Oreochromis niloticus: one gene and its partners. The protein of the gene in region 1 binds, or shares a complex with, the protein of each later gene. Links are inferred from orthologs where the notes say so. Each region holds a gene or a part of one and is shown on either strand. Other genes may lie near its edges.

The links.
Region 2: the proteins of rev1 (region 1) and polk are in contact, whole or in part, in an NMR structure (PDB 2LSI), measured with the Homo sapiens proteins. The link is inferred for Oreochromis niloticus from reciprocal best matches to the Homo sapiens genes REV1 and POLK. Residues at the interface, in NP_057400.1 of Homo sapiens: Asn1158, Leu1159, Ala1160, Gly1161, Ala1162, Asp1167, Leu1171, Leu1172, Glu1174, Trp1175, Thr1178, Ile1179, Met1183, Glu1185, Asp1186, Gln1189, Val1190; in NP_001374042.1 of Homo sapiens: Lys564, Lys565, Ser566, Phe567, Phe568, Asp569, Lys571, Arg572, Arg575.
Region 3: the proteins of rev1 (region 1) and polh are in contact, whole or in part, in an NMR structure (PDB 2LSK), measured with the Homo sapiens proteins. The link is inferred for Oreochromis niloticus from reciprocal best matches to the Homo sapiens genes REV1 and POLH. Residues at the interface, in NP_057400.1 of Homo sapiens: Asn1158, Leu1159, Ala1160, Gly1161, Leu1171, Leu1172, Trp1175, Ile1179, Asp1181, Pro1182, Met1183, Glu1185, Asp1186, Gln1189, Val1190; in NP_006493.1 of Homo sapiens: Thr528, Glu529, Pro530, Phe531, Phe532, Lys533, Lys535, Ser536, Leu539.
Region 4: the proteins of rev1 (region 1) and pold3 are in contact, whole or in part, in an NMR structure (PDB 2N1G), measured with the Homo sapiens proteins. The link is inferred for Oreochromis niloticus from reciprocal best matches to the Homo sapiens genes REV1 and POLD3. Residues at the interface, in NP_057400.1 of Homo sapiens: Asn1158, Leu1159, Ala1160, Gly1161, Leu1171, Leu1172, Glu1174, Trp1175, Ile1179, Met1183, Glu1184, Glu1185, Asp1186, Gln1189, Val1190; in NP_006582.1 of Homo sapiens: Gly232, Asn233, Met234, Met235, Ser236, Asn237, Phe238, Phe239, Gly240, Ala242, Ala243, Met244.

What each region holds. Positions count from the first base shown.
Region 1 is NC_031987.2:21,426,258-21,433,867, reverse strand, and holds the start of rev1 (DNA repair protein REV1), read left to right. Parts: upstream 1-4,592; 5' UTR 4,593-5,136; intron 5,137-6,398; 5' UTR 6,399-6,996; intron 6,997-7,610. Other genes in the region: aff3 (AF4/FMR2 family member 4), read left to right, coding at 1,799-1,935, 2,018-2,089, 2,193-2,286, 2,378-2,427, 2,535-2,740, 2,855-2,976. UniProt on the Homo sapiens protein: Deoxycytidyl transferase involved in DNA repair. Transfers a dCMP residue from dCTP to the 3'-end of a DNA primer in a template-dependent reaction.
Region 2 is NC_031977.2:16,939,300-16,946,349, reverse strand, and holds the start of polk (DNA polymerase kappa), read left to right. Parts: upstream 1-4,030; 5' UTR 4,031-4,307; coding exon 4,308-4,436; intron 4,437-5,707; coding exon 5,708-5,827; intron 5,828-5,955; coding exon 5,956-6,108; intron 6,109-6,374; coding exon 6,375-6,506; intron 6,507-6,596; coding exon 6,597-6,747; intron 6,748-6,860; coding exon 6,861-7,050. Other genes in the region: cert1 (collagen type IV alpha-3-binding protein), read right to left, coding at 1,614-1,748, 1,859-1,948. UniProt on the Homo sapiens protein: DNA polymerase specifically involved in DNA repair. Plays an important role in translesion synthesis, where the normal high-fidelity DNA polymerases cannot proceed and DNA synthesis stalls.
Region 3 is NC_031978.2:15,456,893-15,463,779, forward strand, and holds the start of polh (DNA polymerase eta), read right to left. Parts: upstream 3,009-6,887; 5' UTR 2,833-3,008; coding exon 2,696-2,832; intron 1,585-2,695; coding exon 1,450-1,584; intron 1,264-1,449; coding exon 1,031-1,263; intron 902-1,030; coding exon 723-901; intron 643-722; coding exon 539-642; intron 446-538; coding exon 326-445; intron 83-325; coding exon 1-82. UniProt on the Homo sapiens protein: DNA polymerase specifically involved in the DNA repair by translesion synthesis (TLS). Due to low processivity on both damaged and normal DNA, cooperates with the heterotetrameric (REV3L, REV7, POLD2 and POLD3) POLZ complex for complete bypass of DNA lesions.
Region 4 is NC_031982.2:27,839,084-27,846,913, forward strand, and holds the start of pold3 (DNA polymerase delta subunit 3), read left to right. Parts: upstream 1-4,818; 5' UTR 4,819-4,919; coding exon 4,920-4,976; intron 4,977-5,503; coding exon 5,504-5,559; intron 5,560-5,989; coding exon 5,990-6,089; intron 6,090-6,185; coding exon 6,186-6,225; intron 6,226-6,463; coding exon 6,464-6,596; intron 6,597-6,753; coding exon 6,754-7,009; intron 7,010-7,101; coding exon 7,102-7,174; intron 7,175-7,830. UniProt on the Homo sapiens protein: Accessory component of both the DNA polymerase delta complex and the DNA polymerase zeta complex.

The DNA of each region.
Region 1 (7,610 bases):
GCTGCTTTCCATGCGCCTCTTTAAATGTGCTTAGCTTGCTTATTTCCAGCTCCATGTTTTTATTCTTTGTCTCTGTGTAGCTTTGCATGATTCACAGTTCAAAATAATCCTTCTTTATGCATTATGCATGGGGCGATCGTGGCTCAAGAGTTGGCAGTTAGTCTTGCAATCGGAAGGTTGGCGGTTCGAGCCCCGGCTCGGACAGTCTCGGTCGTTGTGTCCTTGGGCAAGACACCGAGACTACTGGTGGTGGTCAGAGGGCCCGGTGGCGCCAGTGTTCGGCAGCCTCGCCTCTGTCAGTGCGCCCCAGGGTGGCTGTGGCTACAATGTAGCTTGCCATCACCAGCCAAGCTACATTGTAGCCAATGTAGCCAAGCTGTTGGCTACAATGTAGTCAATGTAGCCAACAATGTACAATGTAGCCAACGTGTGTGTGGATGACTGAATGTAGTGTAAAGTGCTTTGGGGTCCTTAGGGACTAAGTAAAGCACTATACAAATACAGGCCATTTACCATTACTGGACTGTGATGTAGCTCCTCGCTTTCAGTGTCTCAGAAATCACAGACTGTATTTAAAAGATGGACATAGCTACTGTGACATCACCCATCTGGATTATGAATATGGAAGACCATGGTTAACAAAGGGACCATATTTAGATGCTGATAAATGCTAATTTATCATCTAATGTTAACAGGCTTGGTTTGGATGCACCACCCATAATCTTTATGGGTGCACTGCAAAATCAGTGTTACATATAAATAAAATACACAATACAAAATTTCACTCAGTGAAACATCGCAAAACTATTCGACATTATTATTTGTTATTTGTCGGATAATAGAAGTAAAAATAAAAAAAATCTATTCTTAATGCAGGCTTCACAATGGCTGTGTAATGGATTAATTTGTTTTTTCAAACTGAGCTTGAGTTTCAGATTTTTCCAACCAATCAGACCACTGCCTTCGGCAATAAGTGCGCTCATAGTTTAAAACGTGCACCAGTACTGAATATACAAATAGTAACATAATACAATTTTACCTCAGACACGCAGCTAGATGCTGCTCTGGGTCAGTCGGCTCTCTGAAATGATTTCTCTCCCTCCTAAGATGTGTTCCCAACTCTGCCAACATGACCTCAAACTGCCCCACTGACAATCCTGTCAGTGGGGCAGGATCCCACAATCCATCCTGAAATATGCACGAAAGCGGCCGCAATACAGCTTCAACTCCTGAAATTCTCCATGCTGCCTCTTTTTCGTGGGAATTGAATGAACACAGACTCTCAGTTTCTTCTTTTTCTTGTTTAGAAACCTCAGGAGCAGCTGATCATCCCTTAACAAATTAGAGAGCAAAACTTTTTTTGTGCCAGGCTTTAAGTGCCATAGTGTAAATATGCCTATAAAGTTAGACATTTTAGTCTTTGTGGACTGACTCATTTTTTTTTAAGTGGCCACTCCAGGAATTACAAGAACCATCTGAAATGAAGCATTTACAGCACATTGAAACATACCCTTACAATAACGATTACACTGACACCATCTGCTGGTACAAATTGGTTTATATCAGGGCGACTGGGGTGCCAGCCATACCTACAGCCAGTTTAGAATCACTAAATAACCTAACGTTTTTATCTTTGGCTTCTTTTGCCTTTCCAACTGTGGGAGGAACCAAGCTGCTGGAGTCAAATCCAGAACCTTTTTGCTGTGAGGTCGTAGTGCTAAATGTGTACCACTGAAATGCCCAACAAAAAAGTAACAAATAAAATAATATTTTGCCTCTTTTGATTATTTCTTTCCAGGTCGACAAGCTGGGGAAGGCTGTGAACTATGTTGATGCTGCTCTCTCGTTCATGGAATGTGGGAAGGCAATGGAGGAAGGGCCACTCGAAGCAAAGTCTCCTTATACCATGTATTCGGAAACAGTGGAGCTCATTAGGTGAATGACATTTCGATGCTAAAGCGGTCACAAGTCATTTGGATTTGGATATGTGCATAAACACGAATTGCTGTTTCTTAAGGTACGCAATGAAGCTGAAGAGCCACTCTGGCCCCGGGGCGAGACAGGAAGACAAACAGCTGGCGGTTCTGTGGTACGTATGTCATCATCTCATCTGTTTAAGCCACATCTATCATCATACTGAAGGACGTGCACTTTGAGGATGATTTTGTGCCATGTCCGACTCCTGTCCACAGTTTCCGATGCCTGGCCCTCCTTTACTGGCAGATGTTTCGCTTGAAGAAGGATCACGCGCTGAAATACTCCAAAGTGCTGCTGGATTACTTTAAGGTACATCTAAAAACAAGTCATTTACTTGAAAACAAGTCAACATTTATGTGTGGATGACACGTCAATAAGCCTTGTTTGCATGTTGTTACAGAGCTCTCCTAAAGTGCCTACTACCCCACCCGGCTGGAGTGACTCTGGGAAGTAGGTGGATGATAACTTTGAATGATAGGCTTTTTGTTTAGCCCATTTAATCCACTGAAACCACCGCTGGTTGCCCATCACTCTGTTGTGTGTGTTTTCACTCTTAGGGGTACAGGAGGACCCCCCTCTTCACTCTCACCTAATGCCAAACACCTCGCACGGGTTTCCCACGAGGGCAGCAGCTCTGCCTCCCTCATAAGCATTCCCCACCGTATCCACCAGATGGCAGCAACTCACCTGAACATTACCAACAGTGTGCTGTACAGCTATGAGTACTGGGAGGTGGCAGACAACCTTGCAAAGGAGAATAAAGGTAGTGGTGATTTAAAGGGGAAATAAAAAAGGGAGAGATTACCATGAAAATATGTTAAATGCATTTTAGTTTTCAGATGTTTTAAGACCAATATCTTTTTTTCTTCCTCATCAGAGTTCTTCAACTACTTGAATACTTTGTCTGGGCCATTGACTCTTCACAGTAGCATCGCTCACGCTGTCCAGTACACCAGGCAGGCCCTTCAGTGGATACGCATTAGTGCCAAACTCAACTAACTTAGAAAGGATTCACTATAACCTGCCCACTGGATCTCATTGACGGTAGAGGAGGTAAAACTCTGGAGAGCACTGAGATGGATGAACCCCCACAGAGCCTAATAACACCCACAGTATGTTTTGGTGCATACACTTCCTTACTGTGTGCACATTAAATGAGCCTCTTAACCATTTGCCAAATGTCCCTCGGACCTTGAAGGATTCACATGTATGTTCAAATTCACCCGGAAAGCCTTTTTCATACTTTGGACGTAATCGTTAATCTAGCGGACTTTTTCTCAAAGGGGCCAAAGCAGGAGAATATCCTTTAAAAAAAAAAAAAAAAGACCTACAACTAGAGAACTTGTTTGCATCTTTTGCTAATGAGGGTTGTAATGATGTACTTTTTTCACATTGTTTTTACTGTGCAATATTTGATGGATGGTTTGTTTTTAGAAAAAAGAGGAAAACTTGCAAGAGAATAAAATGTTTGTCCCTTTTTATTTTTGAGTGTGGAGTTACATAAAGAAACTTTGTAGTGAAGACGTCCCTCTGTCGGTTTACAAATTGGGTCTGGTTAAGGGTTACATGGAAATACATACAGGATGATCATCTTTTCCCTCAATGAGGAATATTTCTTCTAATAATCAGCATGTGAAACCCATCAGAAACCACTGGATGATGGCTGTATATAGTGCTTTTCTACTCGGAGCACTCAAAATGCATTTTACTAGAAGCCTCATTCTCCCAGTCACACACAAATTCTTACAAGTGCTTTTTTCTACACCTAAGCACACCCTGTCTAACATTTGCACACTCCAGTGGATGCACTAGGTTTCAATATCATCCCCAAGAAGACTGGAGTAGCTGGGAATTGAACTACTGACCTTCTGATTAATAGACAGCCTGCTCTACCCCAATGGTGAGATTACTTGAGAGAAAAGATGTGGGTGGCTAATCAGAGGCAATATGTGTTGCATGTGTTTCAGTGTACTTAATGAACCTTTAAATGAGTGCAGGTGTACGTTTATAGAAAGCTACTTTGCATATTTTTGACCTTACTTGTGAATAAGGACTGCTCAGATGGACACACTTTCTTATGAATGTTTCTCATTAGGAAACCTAGTTCATTATACTGATTATACCTTTGCTGACAGGTTCCTTTGATGATTTGGAGGAGGATCTTTTCTGGGCTTTTTTTCCATTACAGACACTCATGCACGCACACACAGTCATAGTTCAATGATTTGCACACAAGAGAGGAAGGTCCACACAATGTGACTGTAAACAGATTTATGTTCCCCAAAACATGAGTCATAAACACAAACACTCACACTGAGTGAAAGTCAGCCTCATTAGTCACCAAGTTACACTCTCCATCACTCCACTCCACCACTTCCTGCTGCACCAACACAGATGTCGCGCATGAAGCTTCAGCATCCGATGTCTGGTACCATAGCAACAGAGAACAACCAATAAGGGGTGGGGGTGCTTTTTGGGACAGGCTTGGGTCAGTAGCATCCTTGCTTTCAGTGAAATACGAGGTCTGCAAACACAATCAGTAGCAGACTACATGTTTATCCCCCTCAAAAATATGACCCACTTTATTTACACTTCCTTTAACACCAGCTCCTGTGTTGCAGTCTATATTTTAAACAAACCGATCAAAGATGGGAAAGCTTTAATTAAGTGTCCAAATCAAACAAGGTACTAAAGAGGAGACAGGGCCCAGACTATTTTTTTATGCTCCTCAGCGTCCAACCCACTTATTTTGCTAGCGATGGGGGAAACTCCACCCCGTCTTTGCTTTTGCTAGCGCTGTTTTTAATATTATGCAGGACTACGGTTAAAATAGAGAGCAGGTTCGCGCGGACGAGTGTTCACATCCTCGTTCGTGCTGCACGTGCCTCTGCGTCACGGCCGTCAGTTGCCTGTGAGATGAACGGCCATCTGAGGACAACCGTGCTGGGAGCCAGACAGTATACGCACACCGTGGAAAAAAACCGGTGGATGTGTGCGTGTCCCTAGACTGCTCCGCCAGCCGCTGTTGTGCCGCAGAAAAGCGGACACTTTGCACACAAACCCTCCTGAGTTCAAATGAGCAGCGTCACTCTGAAATAACCGAAGGTCGCAGCGACAAAATAGCAGCTTCACACCGGCGACCCGGTTTTCGGCTCCCGAGTGAGTAAATTAGCACCGCCAGTGGGTTAAAAACTGCACAGAGCTTTCATGAACTGTTATAGACAGTCCAGGTGACATGTACGTGACTGTCCGCGTAGTGGCAGCATCGCAGCTTCAAGCAAATACTGTATACAGTGCTGAAAACAAGAAGCCGGGGATGATGCGTCAAGCTACCTGAAAGGGTACCCGACGACCGGAAGTTGGGCGTATTTTGTTTTTGAAAATAGCGGTTTATGCTAGGCAAACTTTTCAGTTTAAATCAACAGATATATAGAAATGTGTGTTTGATTTTAAGGAAAGCGCACCAATTATCATTTGGTGTTTTTTCTACACTGCATATCATACATACAGAAATACATTTTTAAAAACTATAGAAAATCAAATGCTGTCCACATGTTGGAATATACTGAACGGTTATCTTAGCTTATGAGTGTGCGTTTTCCATAAGTTTAAAATATGACATAAAACTACCGTGTTAACAGTCTGGATATTGTAAAATAAGCTCATGTCTGCAGTGCGGTATATATGTGAGTAATCAGACACACCATAAGAAATTACACTGGAGGTATAGGTCAATTAAATTCCACATAATTTTGCTCCCTTACACAAAATGTTCCCATAGTGGTCTATTTTTGTTCTACCTCTTTTGGCTGCTCAATACAGGGGTCGCCACAGTGGATCATCTGCCTCCATCTGACCCTATCCCTCATCCTCCTCTGTCACACCAACACTCTCCATGTTCTCCAAGAACTTTGTCTGTTGTCTTCCTCATCTCCTCCTGACTGGCAGCTCCATGTCCAAGATCCTTTGTCCAGTATATCCACTGTGCCTCCCCTGCACATGTCCAAGCCATGCCAGCTTTGCTTTGCATTTGTCTCCAAATCGCTCAACCTGAGCTGTCCTTGTGATGTACTTCTTTCTAGTCATGTCCATCCTGGTCAGTCCCAGTGAAAATCTAGCGTATTCAGCTCGTGTCTTTTTATTGGTGTCACCATCTCCAAACTATACACCATAGCATCTCGTAAACCTTCCTTTTCACTCTTGCTGCCATCTTTATCTCAAAATCACTCTTGACACTTCTGAACTCCCTTCTTTACCTCCCCTGTACACTGCACATTGCTTTGCATGGTTGATCTCAGGTATTTAAACTTATCTACCTTCACTTCATCTGCTTTTTGCAGCTTCACTGTTTCCACAAAGCAGTTTCCTTCTCATTCACACACATGTATTCTGTTTTGTTTGTACTGACTTTCCATCTGCAGAGCATACCTCCACTTGACCAGGCTCACTACAGATCATGTCATCTGGAAACATATTGTTCCACGGAGACTCCTGCCTGACCTGTCGGTCGTCATCATTGCAAACAAGAAAGGGCTCAGAGCTGATCCCTAATGTAATCCGACCCCATCTTGACTCCATCTATCACACCTCATGGCAGCTCTGCACACCCTTGTTCCTGAAAAACATAACAGCCTAGTCGACAACTTTTATTTTGAAATTTTTGCTACCGGAACTACTTTTACCTTGCTCATTGGTGCTTACTGAGAGAGAGAAAAGAAAGCAAAGGGATTCAGGCGGTTGAAATGGAGAGCGAAGGGACTGGGAGGGTGAGTGAAAATGTTCAAGAGACATGGCGTGGCAGCATGACACAATAAAGGGGACCTCGGTTCACCAAAAGGAGTCCTCGGAATAACAGAATCGGGGAGGCGGAGGACTCGATCTGACTGTCTAGAGGATTTTCATCTCGCTTTGCTTTGGTCTTACCTCGTTTAACCCAATCAGTGGGCACACAACGTTTGAGCTGAGCAGTATCTGCAGAGAGAAGTCTGTGGCTAACAACCAAGTCTGACAGGATACAAGGTAAAGCACTTCTCTTTGCGAGCAACCACTCAGGAAGGTTGGTTTGTTTACAGCCTTGGTTATCGCCACACTAAAGTTGCATAGTCTTATAGCGCTGTTTAACGCTGGGTTGCTAATTCTGCCAGTATTGTTAGCAAGAGTCTGCAAAACACTCAAACTGTTCCTGATCCTTAATTTATAATACCATTTAGTGGCGTAGCGACATGCATTATTAACCAGCTAAAACCGCTTAGAGTTGCTAGGCTAATGTTAGCCGTCCACCTAGCTCGTACTTGAAAGAAGTGACAAAGTGCCACATGGGGCTATGCTGTGACCTATAGCGACTCGTTGTGACCTACCTGTCAACAGTAGAGAACCTGCCCGGGCATGTCCTTTGGCACGGACGGCTTTCCCATAAAGTGTGCGGCCAGTACCATGGCATCTAAGCTCATTTAACATTGATTCATTTAACTGTTGTTAATATCAGTCATCAACACTGGTTGCATTGTTCCTGCCCTTTGGTTTGCACATGAGGAAGTTTTGTAAACAAGAGACATCACTCAGGAAGGACTGACTTTACAGTCACCTGGTGTTTAAAATAATTGCCACACCATCTGAGCAGCATTTATGCCATT
Region 2 (7,050 bases), on another chromosome or scaffold:
GTTGCTCATGTGCTGGCTTATTTGCAGCCACTGACAACAGCAACACACAACTCTGGACACCTAGTGTGAGCCTGAAAAACTTTATGCAACATTGTAGTAATGCTTTAACGCTGGTATTGCATTTCACAACTTGTATATTTAGAATGGGCACAAGCATGGGGTGGATTTTTATGACCCTTAAATGCTTTTTACTGATGTTCCTAACAAAATCAGCACTACCGTATTCCCTTACCAGAAACAGTCGGATATGAAAAAAGTGCTCCGGTTTTAAATTTTCACTATAAAGGTGTGTGCAGCTTTGTGCCCATCCAGCCGTGATTATAGCTTTGACAAATCCACTTTATCTTGCACTGCTGCATCAGGCAGACCATAAACCTTCCCTTTACAATGAAGTTTATAACAGTTTCCCTATGACTGGAACGTTCTCTTCCCCTTTGCGTAAGCACAGCTGTATCTACACAGCATCAGCTTTTTTTTCAAATGTGTAAATTTCTTCACTATTAGTAAAAAGTCTCATCAGTCCACTGATAGGATCTAACAATGACTAAGACTTAACTTTTCCTTCTTTTGACATTTTACAACGCATCTGTGTGCATCAGATTAATTTAATAATATTTAATACAAGATATACTAGATTAACTTTTAAAACTGATAAATGGTGGGAGAATGCAATGGCATGTATAATCAATGGGAGCTTCTGATTGTTGCCTCCAGTGAGAGTATTTAGACTGTAACGTTTCTTGCACATTATACCACTGCGTGAGGACAGTCTCGTGTTGGTCTTTATTTAGAAGTTGTGTATCAGTGTGTAGCTGTTACAGGGGAGCTAAGAAGCAAAGATTTGTTTGTGCATTCCTGAGTCCTTAGACCCCGCTTCAGGGAAAAAAAAAATATAGAGGCAGGGAATAGTTTGGGTCATGTTGCTCTAATTACTTGTGAGTATGTGTAATAAAACTGTGTACATTCTTGGTTTGGCTACTATAGCGCAATTAAAAAAACAATCGTGCTCCATTCAGGTCTGCACAAGCATAGGAACTGATTATGTTCACACCAACAAGCAGCAGGACCTCACTGTGACCTTTTCAAGTTCTACTTTTAAAAATCATGTAATCCTATTGAACACAGCTGTGCAAATTACAGTAAAACCAATTGTTTGGCTTCTGTACTTGGTATGATCAGAGAGAGAGCGAGATCAGTGAATATTTAACCAGGGTGGTAGGTTTTAGTTTACCTGACTAACAAGAGGCCGGAATAGGAAGAATGTAGGTCCAACTTCTACAGTGTGTGGTCAAAGCTTACATCTGAAACCCTGGGCAAACACTAATTTATAGTAGATAACAAGGGCCACGAACACTTGATAGCGCTATGATCACTGAAGTAATAGTCCCTTGGTATGCTCAAGTATCGATCTGTAATCTTAACACAGCCTCAATATAAGTTAATGTTCACCTTCTATCTTAGAGGAAAATGGAGAGCATGTGCATGAATAAGAAAAGATGGGATCAAAACAGGGAGACATACTAGAGAAACAACTATCCTCTTATGAGTCCTCACTTACTGAAATGCTGAACAGGTGCTATGTTCCCTGTGATGTGGCCAGTTTAAATACTTACTGTGATGACTGCCTTACTGAGGCACAAAGAGCCCCTGCAGCCGTACTCCCGTTCATCCTCCGACTTGTAGTAACTCAAAGTATTGTTTTTCAACACAACCCATCGGTCCTGCCACCCGTGTATGTAATTTGTCCACTGTAAACACACAAGACGTGAAGTACACAGTTACAAAGCTGCAACACGCGCTCAGCAGGTGATCTAGTGCAGCAACACTTTAAAGTGCACACCGTTTGACTTAAAGTTACCTTGCTTAGGACGCCTCCAAGCTCCAGGGGCTGACCGGATTCCGGGTCCACATCCTCATCCGAACTGGACGATGAACTCTTCTCGGACATTTAACTCCAAGTTTAGAAGAAAAGTTGAATCTGATCGTATCAGTGCAACCACGTAGCTCGACGCTAGTTGCTGGATTAGTTGAGTTAAAACGCGGTTGCAGAAACGTTCTTCAACTTAAGGTCTGCAAAATAACGTTAATTGGCCATTAACGGAGAGTACAAAACAGCGTCTAGGTGGCGTAATATATCTTAGGTCACTGACAGACTTCAACCGAGTTAGCTTGTCTGGCCACCACCTATTCTGGAGGTGACAGCTGGATCTGATTTTCTCCGTTTTGCCTGCTTTGTTTTGAAACTGACGTCGAATACCACTGAGACTAGCTAACTAAGTTAGCGGTGGCTATCAAATGACGCAACTAGCTAGTATTAAATAAACTAATAACTTGTGGTTGCGCTCGTTAGCTATCTTAGCTGCAGTCCATAAGCTCCTGCTCGACATGGAGGCCTTCGGGGAAACCACTACACATCAACTTCCATCTGAAAATCGACGAGCAGCGGACTGACTCTCTGCTGTGGTTCCGCAGTTCAGTTAGCAGCAGCGGAGGACTCTTCTTTAGGGTCGAGGGGGGAGGAGCCGCAGCCACGCTTTACTGTGTACGACCGCCGGTCACCCCCAGACCGGAAGTTATACGTGTTTGAATAAAATTAAAAGCTGGATATTTTTTTAATCAAAAGTTTGCATAGTCAAAGATTGTATCACAAATCAAATAAACTGCCAAACCCATTTTTTGCAGTATACTTATTTAAACGTGTCACACATACAGTGAAGGATGTAGGTCAGAGTTATACATTTGTATTTATATTAGTTTTGACTGATTTTTAAATATTTATTTCCATTTCAGTTCGCATTGATTTAGTTTCTAAAGTTTTTGTGCTCGCTTTGAAAATGTTTAGTTTCCTTTTTATTGGTATTATAAGTATTACAACCGGGTTTATAAGATTTACTGTTAACGGCGTGCTTGTTTCAGGTTATCTCACTAACAGAGAACTTGTTAGTGATATAATTAGTATATAATCTAAGACAATATATTAGAATAAATAAGAAGAACTATTAATAAAGTTGCCAAAATGGGAAATGATAGTTCTGTAGTTAAAAGTAGTTACGTGTAAAGCATTTTTAACACCAAAATCAATCAGTTGATCCAGGCTTTAATATACTGCCCAATAGGATAATCTGTAGTGGTGCGATAGATCAGATCAAAAAGATGAAAAAATAGAACAGTAGATATTTTCCATAGAACAAAAAAACTGTAATAATGGATAAATGTCTGGTTAAATCTAAAACATAGATTGCATTACTCTTTACTTGTAATTATAAATATATATATATATATATATATACATATATATATATATATGTATATATATATATATATATATATATATATATATATATATATATATATATATATATATATATATATATATATATATATATATATATATATTATTGCTGCATAGTCCCCAATGACTACAACAGTATGTATAAAACAATGTTGTATATAGCCTAACTTTTTGTGTAGGCAAACATGATTATTCTACCTCACAGACGGGCCACATGAGGAGATTTTTTGTTACCCACAGCAAGGATCAGTCCAATCAAAAAAGCGGTTTACCGTTAACAGAAGAAACCAGTAAAACTGGAATTTAAAAAAATCAATTTGGCATGACTTCTGATCACAGGTAGGAATAGTTAACACTAATATGTTTTGTGTGTGTGCTATAGCACTGATGTTTTATGTAAATGTGACGCCACATAAATGTTACATAAATATTTACCCTGATATGGGGTGCAGTTTGTGTTGTGAGGATCTGTTTCGTTGTTTGCAACGAAACTACATTTCATCAGTTGATGTCTTAATTTACTTGACCAGCAGATCCATTTTTAAATCCTCGTGTGAAATATGCCAAAGGGTTTCATAACATATTTGTTGGCACTCGGGAGTATCCAGTGTACTTTAAACGGACCGATAACAATCTAAGGTTAACTCATATCAGCAGAAACACTGCACGATCCCAAGTCATAAACTGTAAAAGCAAACTTTGAAGGGAAGGTACAATCCTGAAATGACGCTCTTGGTCTTTTAGTCCCGCCTATTTGGCTGATGACGTACGGACGCGGAAGTGCCGCCAAAAAAACCGCCGCCGTAGCTGTTTTCAATACATGTAAAGACATGTATGTCAGAAAGCTCAGTGACTTAACTTACAGTCACCGTGGCTCTTATTTGTCATTGAGAAACTCTGATCTGATCCAGCCCGGAAAGCCGCACATATGTGGGGATGTACAGCTCTGAGTTCTTCAGAAAAGAGCCCATTTCGTTATAACCTGAAGTGTACCTCCACTAAGTAAGTCATTAGGATGGAGAATGGGGTGGCATCCACCAAAGAAGAGGGCTTCCTCTCCAGAATGGCTCTCAATGACAACAAAGCTGGTATGGAGGGTCTTGACAGAGACAAGATCAATAAGATCATCATGGAAACCTCCAAGGTAAGTGCTCACAAAAAGACACGGGCATGACACACCTGAGGTCCGAGAGGATGCAAATGATTAGTTTTTAGAACATAAGCATGGATAATTTGTTGACGTGCCGTTCTGCATGTCTTTATGTTTTGCTAGGATGGATGGAAAATAAGGGCAGCAATATACTGAAACACGCACAAAAAATACATAGAAGTACTATATATAACGCAAAGACAGAGGATGTACATTTCTAACAAACATGACACCTTTATTCTTCAACAAAGCCTGAACTGTCTTAGCTAAGCTTTCTTGTCATTTCTTTAAGTAGTCTTCAGGAGTAGTTCTCCAGGCTTCCTGGGAGACATTTAAAGCTCTTCTATGGATGTTGGCTGCTTTTAGATGATACCACACTGCTTCAATAATGTTGAGTTCCATGCTATCCATGACTGATAGTGTTGCATTGTGTGCACACTGGCAGTGTGTTTGGACACAAGCCTTAATTCAGATGGTGTGAAAAATGAAGTTGTTGCTAATTACACACTTTCCAGATGTTATTTTATGGTGGATTCAAATCCGATGATACTTTTCTGTGTTCATAATTTAATCAGTTTTAACAAAAAACCATGACAAAGCCTCCACCGTGTTCCACAGATGGCTGCACACATCCACTATTTAGCCTTTCTCTTTCGCATACATACTGATGACAATTTGAACAAAAAAATACAAATTTGGATTTAACACTCCACAAGACCTGTTACCGCTGATTTTCAGTCCACTTCTTGTGTAATTTGACACACATGAGCCTTTTCTTCTAGTTTCCCTTTCTTAAGAATGCCTTCTCGACAGCCACCCTTCAACTGACACTATTTCTGATGATGCATTTTTTTGTAGATTTCTTATATCACCATATAAGTGTCATAATTCATTCCTTACAGTAATATGAATAGCTTTTGTATAATGGTGCTCTAAAATGTTATTTTGAAATATGTACATGAGTTAAGTTTGTTTCAGTTTGTAGTCTAAAAGAGGACATTGTGGGAGCAAAATCTAAAAATTGACTCTTTTTTTTTTGGTTTACTTGGATGTATCTAGCTTTAGCCAATAAAAGGCACAAATGACACTGTGGACAATATAAACCTCCACGCACTTTTATAGATTGTATCCTGTTCCCCTTTGTGTCCACTATCCTCTGTGTAATGACATCCAGTCCTAAAAATAAATGCGCTATAGTAGCTTTTTATTAAAGCTGTGAAACGGAGTTGTTATAACTCCCCATTGTCCTTGTCCTTCCTGGGCAGGGATCGAAGTTTTACGAGAATGAGCTGAAGAGAGATCAGCAGGTGAACCAGCGCATTACGAAAATGATGCTACAGAAGGCACGGATCACAGAGCAGCAGTTAAAAAAAGCACAAGCTCAGGTAAGATGTAAGGGATTCACATGGCCAAAGCTGACTTCTTTTTCCAGAGGTGACCTGAAAATCACACAGACACAACTCAGGTGAGCTTCAAGCAACTGGCTTCTTTTCATTTTATTCTCTCTGCGTAGGTGGAAAAGGTGGCCACAGCACTGGAGAAGAGTCGTGATCTAAGCCGTGTGATTGTACATGTGGACATGGATGCTTTCTACGCTGCTGTTGAAATGAGAGACTGTCCTGAACTGAAGGACAAGCCCATGGCTGTAGGATCCATGAGCATGCTGGTGGGTTAAAAACATTGCTATTGTGGCTAATGGACACGCTCAGGGTGTAGGCGCCACAGATGCTGACTATGAATTATGTCTGAACTCTGAAACAAGATATTAAAAGTTTACCTCAAATATAAACCACACGGCACTGAAATATAGTATACGCATGCTCTCACTACTTTACAAACTACACGAAGATTAAGTATTGAAATCATGGCCATTTAAGATCCAGAACAGCCACTCTCTCTGTTTCATTCATATCGCCTCTTTTCCTTTCACAGTCGACCTCTAACTATCACGCCAGGAAATATGGGGTTCGAGCTGCCATGCCTGGCTTCATTGCAAAGAAACTCTGCCCCAGTTTAGTCATTGTTCCACTTAACTTTGATAAGTACAGAGCTGTGAGCAATGAGGTAAGCGCAATACCTAAAAACACACATGCAAACAAATTGTTTCAGTGGCTTGTTGCTCAACAGGTGCCCATCTGTCTGTCCTTCTGTTAGATCCGGGAGATCTTTGCAGACTATGACCCGAACTTTCAGCCACTGAGCCTGGATGAAGCTTATCTAGATTTCACAGACCACCTGGAGCAGAGGCAGCACTGGCCAGAGTCCGCACGTACACATCACTTCCGTGTCAGAGACATGACCACAGGTAGGGATTTGTTTTTCTTTAATATATAGACACAAACACATATATATATGAAGTTTTATATATCAGGAATTCATTTGATGTTGTGTGATTATTTTTTTTTTTTTCTTGTAAAGATGAGAAAAAAGCTGAGCTTTCCCAGGAAGCCATGACAGAGATAAGAGAGCTCTCCCCAGTACTGTTTGAGGACAGCCCAGGCTCCTCTCCCAGCCCAGTGGGCCCTGAAGGTGTGCGTGCTCCTGCAGGTGATTTCGAGGTGTTTGGGACATCTGTTGAAGAGGCTGTGCGAGAGATGCGCTTCCGCAT
Region 3 (6,887 bases), on another chromosome or scaffold:
ACTGCAGCCAATGGACTTTGGAAGCTGTCTTGGTTTCACAGCTTCAAAATCAATCCCCCGGCACAAGTCATACAGCCACTGACTACATTAAACAAGGAAGCAGGATAAAGTTTAAGGTCCCTGTAGTACTGAAGGGTTTCCAGAATTACAAAGTTTCTTTTCTGAAGCAGAAGTTCAAGTTCAGAAGTTCAGAAATGTTTAAGGAAGTTTAAAAGTGCAAAACTACTTGTTATTACTTTAATAACACCATGTGATTATTTTCTTAAGCAAGTTATGTCACCATTATCAAAATGACAGTGTTTAAAGGCATTTCTGGCTCTCTCACCCTGTTTTTTCTCCAAAGTGCTGCTCCAACTGAGCCTTAGAGAAGCGAGTGAGATCGCCCATGTTCTCTATTCCCAGAGTTTCTGTGATTGAAGTTCCCAGCTTACCCCCCAGGTTACGGCTGCAGGGAAATAAATAATACAAGAGCACAGGGTTTAATTTGAAGTTTTAGCTGCCACTCTGTCAATGTAAGCAATGACATAACTAAACTTACATCTTGCCAACGGGGAGACTGCTGAAAAGTTCTGTCACAGAGTCCAGAGGAAGAACAGTTTGTCTGTTGGGCTTGTTCAGACCACAGGCTAGTTTAGCCAATACCTTGGAAAAGTGAGCGGTAAATGATTATCTCTGCAAACACAGTTACCGCTCTTAGACTATTAAATAGGAGTTTATCCTACCTTATTGTGTGATATTCCTGCAGAACAGCGGAAACCTGTGTGTTTCTCCACAGCTGCTCTCATTTCCTCAACAATCAGTGCTCCAACAGTTAGCTGCAGTTCTGCAGAGCTCTGCTCACCCACTGACGGGAACGTTAAAGATTCCAGCCACTGCTGGAGACCTCTGGATCGCTGTTCCTCTGAGCACAAACATGATGTTATTAGGAGGATACAGCCTGCCATTGTTTTTTAGCTGTTATTTTTCGACAGCTTTCTGTATCAACTGCAGAAACAACTCATTGGGTAACTGAAGTTAGCTTACAGCCTACCTTTATCCAGCACAGTATCCTCTGCAGATTCTTCAGCTGCAGGTGAACTTTGCGGGTACCCCTGGATGTAGGTAGTCCTCAAGAGCGAAGGTTCGATTTGTTTGTCAGTCATATTTTTCAGTCGCTGCTGGACAGCGGCAGTCAAATCCATGTAGGCCTCATCAATGCTAGCTCTCTCAATCACAGCAAAGCGAGACATGACCTCAATCACCTCCACACTCGCCTCTCTGTAACTATAAAGGGGACAGAAAGAAGTTATTTGCAGTACAGCTTTGGCCACAAGAATTTAAGGCAATTTAAAAAATAATCGTAAATTTAATTAAAGACTTAATGTTGATCGAGTGTTGATCCAAAGATTTAATGTTGATCCAATTAAAAAGAGGAAGTCTCTGGGGATGTACATGAGCAGCAGCACTTACTTTGTCAAGTCTGCCTTGCCATGAGACTCACGCACTCGTGCCACCTGGAGGTCTGGGCACAGTTTTTTTGCATCATCCACCCACATGTTCCTGGTGACACCATGGGCCCTGGCCTCGTAGCTCACAGCTATAATACTAAGAAACAATAACATTTAGTCAAGGATCACAAAACAATCAAAGTGTGAAAACATTTTAGAAGGTGTCAAAGCGGTTATTTGTGGGACATGAAGGCGGGTGAGTTGCCAACACAGAGACATCAATTCAAATGGTCAATGCAACTGAACACACGCAGTCCTGGGAACGAATTCACCAGTGGGTTACAAAAAGAGAGGGGAATGTTTAAATTCTCTGTAATCTAGTGACCATTTTGTTTGATCCAGTATTTCATTATTTCAAAATCTGCTGATCTACTGGCATTTTCTCCCCTAACACCAACTCTATGGTTTACAGAGAATGGTCTGAAAAAAGAGAAAATAAACCAGCAGTTTTCTGGGTGAAAGTGCCTTGTGCAACTAAGAGGTCAAAGACTAGACTGCTTCACGCTGATAGGAAGGCAACAGGAACTCAAATTCAAATAACCACTCAATTAAGTTATGCAAAAAAAGCATTTTTAAACACAAAAAACGATGAACCTTGAAGCAGATGGGTTACAGCCACGGAAGACCACAGCAGGTGCCACTTCTGTCAGCTAAAAAACAGGAAACTAAAGCTACAGTTCAGATGGGTTCACCAAAATTAGACAAGAGAGGACTGATAGGACAATGTTCCCTGGTCTGATGAGTTCAGATTCAGGCTGGTGGAGGTGGTGGTGGTGTAATGTTGTGGGGGATATTTTCTTAGCACAGTTTGTGCCCCTTAGTAGAAACTGAGCATTGTTTAAACACCACGGCCTACCATGTCCATCCCTTTATGGCTACAGTATAACCATGTTCTGATGGCTGTATCCAGCAGGATAACACACCAGGTCACAAACCTCAAATCATCTCAAACTGGCTTCTTGAACATGCCAGTGAGTTCACTGCACTCGACGTTTGGCTTTTACATCAACCTGTTGACTCTATGCAACAAAGAATTAAGGCAGTTCTGCAGGTAGGAGTACGAACAGGATGTACCTAAAAAACTGTCCACTGAGTGTATGCATAACAGCGTAAGGAACACCAGAAAAAAATGTTTTCGTAACGGCAGCTCGGCTAGGTGTTTCAATTGCGTCGATCACAAAAACAGCATCTCTGTGTCAGAAACTCACCTGCCTCCTTTCCACGTCTTGTACTGGGCCACCACACAGGGAGTATTCCTCAGAGCTGGATTCAGCCTCTGCTCCACCTGCACGTAAAAGCAGTCCATGTCTACTAACGCCACCACCCTCTCCTTCCCGTACTCCATTGTTAACGATGAAAATCTATCGGTGGTGTTAAGATATATGTCCGCTTCTTGGCGGGGCTGTTAATTCACAGCTGTCATCAGAACTGAAAGTTCGGTGGACTTGAACGGACCGCCAAAATACACACCGACCGCTTTGCATTTCGAGGGTTACATAAATACGTCATCAACAGTCGACGAAGAAGTCCCTTGCTAATGTCGTCACCACTGAAGAAAAACAGTTGCCTGCACACAGTGTTGCCAACTTAGCGACTTTGTCGCTATATTTAGCGAGTTTTCAGACCCCCTAGCGACTTTTTTTCTTAAAAAAGTCGCTAAAAAAGACGTGAAAGCACGTATCGCTTTTACTCTCAACAAGCAGCGGGTGCTGTAACACAGTCAGTTCTTCTTTTACTCTTTTACTCATATGCTGTTTTGTAGATCACAAGGTTTAAAACTACTTATAAACACACACACACAAAGTAACTCCACCAGAGTGCCTATTTCGGATCACTTTTGCCAGTCCAAGCCCGGGTGAAGGAGCAGGGTTGGAATTGTGACATTAAAAAAAACAATAATTGCTAAAAGAAATTTAATTTGTAGTTCTAAATAAACTCTAAATGCATTTAGGACGTTTTTTACTCACTTTATGTCTCTTCCACGATGTTATTTCTCTCTCCAACAACATAGGTTACAATTATATTAGCATGACCAATTATGCAAATTAGGTGATGACGTCATTTAGCGCCTTCTAGCGACTTTTAGGACAACCAATAGCGATTTTCCTTACTGAGGAGTTGGCAACACTGCCTGCACAGCGAAATTAGCTAGCAAGACCACAAAAGTGCAAGAAAGTGAAGTTTCAAAACATCAATATATACAAACACTATATACACAATGTGTAAGTTACAAGAAACACTGTGGGGGTGTATACAAGGGCATCCATAATATAAAGTAAGGGTGGAAGGGCATTTAGTCATTAAGGATAGTGATAAAACACTTGCAAAATATGGAAAATGCAATGTATTAATAGTGTAATTTTGAAGTATTTCGCCTTCTCCCTTTAGTGACCACCAGTGGAACTCCTGACCTTCTCTATACTTTGCCATCTACACTACATCTTCTTAACCTAGCTCTGCCCCTTATTCTTGAAAATTGGTACCAGTACACTCCTTTTTTACATTCCTTTTTCAACAGCGCCCAGGCATCCTCTCACTGTCCAAGGTGTGGGAAAACAATATGGTGAATAAGTCCACTGCCCTCTCTCCTAAACATCTCCACACTTCCACAGGTCTATCCAACGGACCAACTGCCTTTCCAGTCTTCATCCTTTTCATAGCTGCATTAGCTTCCTCCTTACTAACCCTCTGCACTTTCTCATGCGATGCTACAGTTCCCCTCTTCGGACCTTTCTCTAGATGCACAAAGGAACAGCACAACTTCTTCTGGCCTTCTCTATACTTCTCTATATTCTAAAAGCCACAGTAAACATTTTATGAATCTGTGGGCTATCCTTAAGTAAAATGAAAGAAGACCTTTTTGCAGAAACAACAAAAATGAAGAGTATAGTTCATGCAACAGTGGTAAGTAAAGAAGGTGTTTGGCTTCAAGAATGCTGAAGAACTTGTTAGAGTTACTTCAGTCTCTTTCTGAGGGCAGATGTACCCAAGATTGTTAAGATCTGATTGCTGAGGACAGAGTTATTGCATGGCAGTCTACAGAGTGCTCCAGTAAGAGGTAGAACTACAGAACTCAGTAAGAGACCATGGGTGAATATAAGTCCACCTATTCTTCTAATGACTGACATAAAAATAAACATATATAGTGAAACAACACAAATGATCTACTAATAAATTGCAGAAATAAATATATTTAGATAAATTCCAACAGATGTAGTTAGGGGCTATTGTAACTATCAAAACAGGTTTGATCCAATGGCTCTCAAATGGGAATCCTCATTAAAATCATTATCTATTCATTTGTCTCGTTGTATTGTTATAAATAATAAAATGTTAATAGATTTCAAAAAGTCAGACAAACTAGTTTATTCCTTACAGTAACCAGTGAGAGGTTTTGAACAATGTTTAACTAACACGTGACTTATAAATTAGGCAAATTATGAAATATACTTTTGATAGTTTTGGGTGAATTGCAGTCAATTGTAAAAGCCCTGAAAAGAGAAACACTGTCAAAAATATAAATAAAATGAGGAAGCAATCCAGGTTGAAATTTTCCCTGTGATAGTGAAAGGAGTCACTCACTCACAGCAGCTGTACCAACATGGTTCTTCTATATATTTATCACCTATTGCTCACTGGATTGCTGGGTAAGTAAGATAAGCCTCGAGCTGGTAAATATTTAACTTAAAGAGATGAGTCACTAGTGGTTCATCATCAGCGTTTAATATTGTGTTTAATATTTTACTGTTAGGCCATGATTTTGAATTTTAAAAGTGATACAGGGGACATTTTAAGGTATTAACTCGTATTAACTATTTTCTTTTAATTTGTTAGGAATTCACTGTGGAATTATTACAGTGAAAAAAGTGTCAGTGAAGAAACTGGGTTCTGTCTCTATCCCATGTCAATATGAGCCACTCTACAGAAATCATGTGAAATACTTGTGTAATGGATACTGGTGGTTAGTTTGCTCTCAAGAAATGAAAACAAGCCAAATGAAAACATCATGAAAGTTTTCCATCTCGAATGATACAAACCAAAGAATCTTTACTGTGACTATTAATAATGATCTCACAGTCAACAAGTATTTCTGGTGTGCTATAGAGACTGGCAATGGAAGAGATGATAAACAATATTTTCATCTGTCTGTCAGCACAGGTACAGTAAACTCTCTTATTTCAGGGTTTTAAATTCCTCGTTGATGTTTTAAACAAGGCATTTCAGTGAACTACCTGGCAGAAAAAATGGCTAATGGCTGTATCTTTTTTTCCCTTCAAGGTATGAAAAGTCTAAATGTAACCCAACAGGAAATTGTAGGTTTTGAAGGAGAAAGTATGACTGCTGTGTGCTGCTATAACTATCCAGTAGAAAAGGGAGTAATGTGGTGTAGACTGGGCAGCAGCTGTGTAACCAATCAAGATGGATCAATAGATGGAACAGCTGTGAAAATAAATGCGAGTGTCCCTAATCTTTTCACTGTGACTATGAGCGATCTGAGATCAGAGAGCAGCGGCTGGTATTGGTGTGTCATTGGAGACTTACAGATGCCAGTGCACATAATAGTTCATGAAGTTACTTCAACCGGTACGACTGCACTGCACACCAATACAAGTAAGATATTAACATAACCTTTCTGTTTTCATAAGTTGGCAAATTATCATAAAAATGGCACCACAAAGGTTTAACAAATCAGAGAAATTAAGCTTCAGGCAGTGGTGGGACACTGGAGCAATGCAACTTATCTTATGATGGTCTTATGATGTGAAAAGAATGGCTGTAAACAGTCAAATGACCTTTTTACGACACTGCTGATTTTATTTGGCTTTGATCACTTTCAAAATTCAAAAAATCCAAGTGACTGATTTTCATCTGTCTTGACATAAGCCCCTTAAAAAATAACCTGTGAATAATTTGGTAAGTTTGAAATAAAAATAAAAAACATTATCCGAGAGGTATAAATGGGTGTAATTTATTCATTCTTTGATCCAAGGAACTTCACAAGGACACTTTCAACCACTCGCCAACATTCCTCCTCCCTTACAAACATTGAACCAAATAGAGCCCAGCCAACAACCTCAATCATACAAATCATCCTCTTGTATCCATCCATCCTCTTGTATCCATCCTCCAGGCTGGAAGCTGATGCTGGAAGCCTGGAGGATGGATACAAGAGGTCTATCACTTTTAACAATTTGCATATCCCCAGTATTAGACAAAACAGAACAAAACAAAACAAAAACTAAAGATCAAATTTGCTCCTGGAAAAGTATTCATCTTGTTCAGTTTTAGAATTGGTTTCTGTTGTTTGAAAAAAGCATGTCAGTTTTATCCTCATCTACCTTTATCTTCCAATTCCACTAAGATGACGATTCTCACATCTGTCCTCATCCTACAGCTACT
Region 4 (7,830 bases), on another chromosome or scaffold:
ATGTGTGGTGTGATCATGTTCAAGGTTCCTGTTCAGGTGTTCCATAAATGTAAATATATATACATTAAAAAGAAACTGTGACCTCTGTGTGTTAACGCATCGTGTAGATACTGTGTACTTTTAGCTTTCCAAAATAAACTCTAGGCCAGTCAAAGTTAAGATGAACATAAACTGATACGACTGTCATGATGTGAAAGTAATTTTAGTTTTTCACTTTCTTTTATTTGGTGTTTTCTTTATTTGTAGATTGGTAGATGTAGATTTCATTGTTGTGTATTTGCTCATTTTAATTTTTTTTATTTGCATTCTTTTATTTTGACAAAAGCGGCCCAGCAAATCAAATTATATCACCGGAACTAGAAAAAAAATTAATTTAATTACATTTTTGGGGGCCATGGCAGGGAGGTCAGGATGGGCTTGGTTTTTCAGACACTTAGATGCTGTGAGAGTGGTGGGCGGAGACGGCCAAAAAGACCATCCCAGTCCTGGCGAGGCTGGTTTGATATTTTATCCTTTCTCCTCCAGTGTCTGGGAAATCGTCCTGGTTTACCATCCTTCTTTCTTGCTGCAATCAAAAGTTCTTCTCTGTTTTCTTTCAATATTTAAAAGTTCTGAGGATCATTAAAAAGTCAATGTCATAGAAGTTCATGGTATGTGAAGGAGAAATATTATGATGATCGCAGTCACAACCATGGCAAAACAAAACTTGTATGATTGCACAACACCACCTAAATAAACTGTTCGGCCACAACGTTAAAACCACTGAAATATTTGATACCATCTACCATCTGTTCTGCATGAGTTTCTGCAATGATGTGGAGCACTGCATGTCAGGGTAACATCTACACTGCTGCCACTGCTGCAGGTCAAGTGTATCTAACGTCAAAGTCACTCCCTGATAGCAATCATCTCCCCATGTAAGCCAATCTACCACATGGCAAAAAAAAAGTTTACGAATTGTTCAAAGACCTTAACAAACTGCCCAAGGCGCTGATCCAGATTTTAACCCTACCACACGTGAATCCTGCTGAGCATCAGGACACGCCAGAACAACCTCGGTCAAGGAAGCGCCACCACAGGACCCAAAGCCAACATCCACTTCCTGGTGCCAGACATCACAGACCACCCTCAGCGGTACCTCGTGCACGCCCTGATGGATCAGAGATGTTTTGGCAGCACAGGAGGCAGCCACAGAGTGTTAGACACCTGCAGGTACTGCCGACACTTATCAACATTTCCAGGTGTTACAAGCATAAACGTATTTTTCTGCCCGCATGAACCGGCATGTTAAATATGGCACAGCCACTGCATCACTAAGAAATTGCATCTGTAATGTAAAACTTTGGACTGAATTTCTTATATAGAGTGACACGTCCAATATTGTTTGTTTTGCAAACAAAGTGTAAAATAAAACCAATAATAAACCCCTTGATCCACACAAATACAGCCAGTCACGGTTTTGATGTAATTCGGGAGTGAACAGTAACAAATGCAATATAAAAAGTATCATAAACGCTTCAGCAAAAGGAGGAATAACACTGTTTCAAACATTACCCCGATTCTGAAAGCAGCTGTGATGAGCATTGGCTTTTAAAGGAGAGCCAGCTTTTCTTTCACGTGCAGGGCTGGATTACAGAGAAGGTTTACTTTTGATGCATTAGTTCATAGCAGAGAGGCACTTGAGCCAACCAGAGGGGGGCACTGGGACACTCAAGTGACATTCTGGTGTGACAAGAGGAGGGCTGCGGTTTGATATCAATTCAACCCCTGATTTTGCTTACAGTGAATCAGATGTGCTGACTGACTCTGAATCCTTTCATTAAAACAAAAAAACCTTGTTTAACCCTGACCTGGTTTAGTGACCTGATTTTGTAAAATTGTACTTGACTGGTATTTATGGAAACATCTATTTAAAAGAATAAATACATCTTTCTTTGAAATATAGTGGATTGATTTATAATTTGACATCCAAGTATGTATACCTTCATAGATTAGGATTTTTACGTAAAAGCACATTTGGTCTATTTTTGAACTCTATATCTGTCAATGGTTCCCCAAATTTTTATGTCTGTAGTTTTGTAAGAACCACAGACATAGACTGATCACGCTCCACATGCTTGTGAGATACAGTCTGGTCTTTAGGTTTTTGGACACAATTTTGCCTCTATACACCACTGCAATGGAACTATATACTTCCAGATATAATTTTAATTTAAAATCTTCAATTTAAAATTTGTTTGCACAAAATATAATACTAGAATGAAAATAAGGTAATAACTGACTGAAATCTAGAAGCTCGTGGAAATTAACAAATGCTGTATTAAATCCTCTCGCCTTCTCTCAGGCCTTTACTCAAGCCATTTTCAGCTGCTGTATGTTTGCGCCTTAAGTTTTGTCTTCACTAACTAAAAAGCCTTGTCTGGTGCATTAACATCAGTTGACGGACTGCCTTTGAACTTCTGCCTTTGGAATTCTGAGAATTCCAGTGAAAATGTCAACCTGGAAAAAACAGAAGGTCTTTTATCTGTTTAATATTATCATGGACTAACAAGGGAACAGACCTCACATAAAACTTTTTATGACTCAACTGTCCGATTACTATTATTAGTCTCTGAAACTGGAGGACTATGTATAAAACTGGCTAAAAATCCTAAATAGCTACTGCAATACTTTTGTTAAACTTAAATTAAAGCTAAAAATCTGCACTTTAACTGCTTATTGATTCCTTGATTTAAAATCTGTGGTGCTGTATATGGACAAAAAAAAGTACAAAAAAGTCTTTAAGGGAATTTGAATTTGAATTTTTTAAATATTTTTACATTTTTTGCACTGGTATATTTGCAAAGGAGTCCACAAAAAACCCAAAAAGGTAAAGGTGCTTGTGTGCAGCACAATGAGAAGAAAGACAAAGAGGATCACAATGTTCCTTCATTTAAACCAAATCTGATCCACCTGAGGATTTCAGTGTTGCTCTCCGTCTTCAAGGTGAGACAATTATTCTTGTACTTTGTCATCATTATGGGAATATTTTTCCCTCCTCTGCTGCACGTCGCTGCCCTTCTGTTTGACATTTCTATTAGAAGTTACCGTGCAGGCTGAGCAGCGCTGTGCACTGAAGACTCAGAGCTACTTCAATCTAAATATTACATCAGATAGACTGCGAGAACACACCTCAGATAATCATATATACAGCGTGTCACTCAGATTTGACAGCTACATCTCATTAACAAGGCTTTTTGGAGCAATAGGTTTGCAAGTGGTAGAGTAGAAATGGAAATGCTCAGATAATGATATGGGTTAGCTTGTTTAAAACCATTCTTATTTTTCTACTTGTTTAGCACATTTGTTCAGGGTTGGAAATGTTCCTCTGGTACATTATTTATTTATTTATTCAGTTTCTTAATTGTCTTGATTGATCCATAAGAGACAAAAAGTCTCTTTTTTCCCCATCAACATGGGAGAGTCAGTGAATTTCATTTTGATTAAAGCAAATAAATAACTTTAAACTTTTTGAACCTACTCTTTCAGATCTGATGCAACAGAAGTGAAGCACACCAATGCTGTGTCGATCCAGAGGCCACATACATATCTGGTCAATGCATTTGTGACATTCACATTTTTTGATTCTCCAGTGCCTTTACTACAATCCATCAATGGTCTTGTGTTTTTGGAGTATCTCTCCTGCCGACCACAATATGTGCATCTGCAAAAAAGTGTCTCTAGCACAGTCCCGTGTGTAGCATGTACCATGTCTACGGCAGACTTCAGACATCAGCACAACAGTGACACTTTGTTGCTGAAACTTTCTGATGACACAGCAGTTGTCGGCTCAATCAAAAGTGGTGAGCAGGAGGAGAATAGAGGAACAGTTTAGGACTTTGAATGCAATCCTCTTCATCATAATGTCACAAAAACCATTGTAGACTTCACGAGGGGTGGGAGAAGGAGCCAATCAACACCAATAACTGTAAGGAGCACTGAGATGGAAGTGGTCTTCAACCACAGATACCCTGGTGTGCAGCCCAACAGTAAGTTGGACTGGAATACCCATATACAAGCGGGAGAAAGATTACTTTATTTCCTAAGGAGCCGGAGGTCAGTTAACATCTGTTATTTATGTTTTGAAGCTTATCACTTCATATAATCCTATGTTTTGAGCACTGCACTTTTTTTCTTGTGACCTGAGAAAGTTGCCTGAAAGCTGAAGACACACTGGGCAAACCATTTTTGTTCTGTTGTCATTTTCAGTTTATTATTGCCTGAGTTAGAAATATCATGCAGACTCCCCATGAGGAAGGAATGGACTTCTCTACTGAACAATCTGAGGATGCTGCTGTTGTAGTTATTGCTCTTTGATATGATGGCGGTGTAAGAAGCTTGCTTTATTTTCTACACACTGCTCCTTTGCCTCCCGCATAGACGGTAAGGTAAAACTGGAGCACATTGTTGGGCTACTATAATAAGAGATAGCTTTAAAGTGGCCCCTGGAGACCCATCATCATTATTGTTTTCCACATACATAGGTGCATTATAGTGCCTATAATGAACTGATGCTCTCTCCACTCAGCTCCACTGCATTCACATTGTGGATTTTGCTGTTCTCAGACAGTTTGCACTGATTTTTAACTGTCCCGTGTTGGTTTTGGGGTACAAAAAAAAACGTATTAATAATGATAATGTGTGTGGAATATAGTAAAAATAAATGAATGAAGCTCCTGTTTTTTTTTTTACTTCTATCATTCATTTGATCCAGGGAGTGAGTCACAGCCCCGTCTGGCCTGCAGAGGGCAGCCTAAAGCCTTTCGCTTCACAGGAAGGACGGGCGGACACGTGACATGCAACAGGAAGTAAATAAACTGCTTTCCCGCGCAGTTAAATTGGAACAGCAAGTCGTCTGCTTTCAAGGAGAATAAACCAAAATGGATGAGCTTTATTTGGATAATATTGACGAATACGTCAATGACCATAATAAAATAGTAAGTGCCTTCTTAATTCGCGGTATTTCATTTTGTGCGATGACGTTTTCTGGCTGAACTAGAACATGAATTAGCTCTGGCTTCGACATGATTGGCTGCTGAACTCCGCTCAAAAAAACTGCCGTTTTAACTTTGTCTGGTTTTCACGACAATTTATGTGTATCCGGGGGCATTTTTATCAATTTTAGGGATGTTCAGGGGTCTCCGTGTTAATTCGGCTCTGCCATGCTGTAGTAAATGGCACTTGAATTGAAGAAAAGCTTATTTTTAGTTGACCAATTTCAGTTACTGCTGGAAACCGCCAAGTGCGTGACAAACACTGCTGTAGTAAAGACATTTCAAACACTGACATAAAGTCGATATTTGTTTATATCTGATAAGTATTAGATATTTCCCAGCTCACGTAGCTTAATGGAAAGCAACAATAATCGGTACCTTAAAGAAATGACAATATTTGGATAATATTTATTATCCGTCATATAGTCTCTGTGTAAATACAAGTGTCCTGTGTGCATTCTCTACAACAGGTAACCTATAAATGGCTGAGTCTCACTCTTGGAGTTCATGTCAACACAGCAAAACAGTAAGTGGTTACTTTGACATGCCATGAACTAATAAAATAATATATGATACTTTTTTTTTCCATCTTCAAAATGTCTTGTTTGTCCAAGCAACAATCCCAAATTTAAATTAATTAGGGTTTACTGTATTTAGCGCCAAAGAAGCACTACATTTGACAGTAATAGTCCAGTGGAATGTCGCTTGAGTTTTTCTGCAATGAGTTACACCGTTTTTGTTGTGTTACTGAGATGAAGACATGCACATGTTTGCATGTTTTGGCATATGTGTGCATGCAAAAAAAGGTGCTGTGTGTTTTCTTTTAAAAAAAGATCATTAACACTTTGTGTCATTGGCTGATAAATACATAAATGCCATAAACACTGATGTTCCTAAGTGGCCCAGGTAAAGGCTCAAGTTGTGGGAAATACATGTAAGTTGTGTCTTGTGTTCAGAATGCTCTACCACTACCTGGATCACAAGAGGAAGGAGAGTTCAGCTCAGCTGCATGCCACCTACCTTGTGTCAGGGAAATTTGTGGACAACGGTCAAACGGTGAGACCTGTTGTAGCAATTTTTGTGATTTTTTTTTTTTTTCTACATGCACAAAGCTGCAGATTTAATGATTTTTACACTGTGTTTGCTTTTCAGAGTCACAAGGTGTCTGTTGTGAGAGAGGAGCAGCTGGAAGGTGTGTAAATATTAATTCACATGACATCATTCGGTTGTGTTGCTCTGTAACAGCAAGGTTGGCTCGTTGTTTGGTTCTCATTTCGAAAGTAATGTCCTCATTTCATAATCATCACCATCACTAAATGGTACACTTTTATGTCAGTGAGTCTTGATTTTCTTTGTATTTTGTTTTATTTAATGACATAGTTATTGTAAATGAAGCAGCAGTGTGTCAAGTTTGCTGTTTTCTTCTGCAGACTTCAAAGCCAAGATGAGCTTGGTAGTCAGCGTGCACGTCTACAGCGTCCAGAAAGCGTTGCTTAAAGACAGCGGCCCACTTTACGCTGTGGACTACGACGCTGTGAAAGACAATCTTAAAAACTGCAGCAGGTATGCTAATCATGGTGTTTTTTGATTTGCAGTGACCAGTAATCAGCATTTCTACACCATCTGTGTAAAAATTAGTTTAGCCACTATTAGAATGAAAGCATAATTAATGTATAATGTTATTAATATTATTTAATAGTTATTTCCTTTTGGTTTTCAGATACAGCGCGATCCGCTGTGCCAGCGCAGTGCCCATGTCTTCTGTGGAGCTGCAGCAGGCGAGGGAAGTTCAGCAAGCTCCTACACCTGAGCCTGAAAACAAAAAGGCTGGCATGAATGGAGACACCAGCCCAGTTTTAAAATCATCCGCCAAGCCTCCAAAAGGCATCATGGGAATGTTTGCTAACAAATCTGCTCCTAAGAGTCAGGATAACAGCAAAGAGATGAAGCCTGAAAAGAAAGAGGATGCACATGATGTACGGCTTTGTCCTTGTGCTGCAGTCAGTTGCTCTCCAGGGTACTTGAGTTTTTGCTCTATTTGTTTCTAAGTGTGTATTTTGTATTTTAGATCGAAGCACCCAAAAGCAAACCGGTCGCAAAAGTCAATCCAGTGGCAAACTTCTTTGGGACTCAAACATCAAGTGAGTAATAATTTAAAAAAATTGTGTGTGTGTGTGTGTGTGTGTGTGTGTGTGGTGTACTTTATTAAAAGGGGGATTAAAATTCATATGTTCCATTTAGACTGCTGTTATTTTGTTTTAGGTTTCTATTTTAACCTTGAAACTGTTCTGCTCATAGTTTGTTTTTATTATTATTATTAGTATTAGTATTAGTAGTAGTAGTAGTAGTAGTAGTAGTAGTAGTAGTAGTAGTAGTAGTATTTTGCTCTTTATTTGACACACGATCTGCCTTTCAGAGCAGTTGTACAAATCACATTATTATATAAATAAATGTTGTTCCTGTCATGTTCTTATTTCACATAAACCTAGTAAAAGCATCATAATTGAATGCGTTACTCGTCATGGTGGAAAATAATCAGCAAGTGAGCCAACAAGTTTTTTAAAAAGTACCAAAGTGCTGCAGGTTGTAATCAGCAAAACAGTTTTGTCTTGCATGGAGTGTAAGGTTTGAATGTAGAGGCTCTAAAGCAGAAGCCACTTGTGAACACGATCCAGAAACCCTGCCATCTTCTCCGCCAAAGCTCATTTAAAATGGTCTGAGGCAAAGTGGAAAACCTTTCTGGTCAGAAATCAAAATGTTACGTTTTACTTGGAAAACATGGATGCCACGTCCCAAC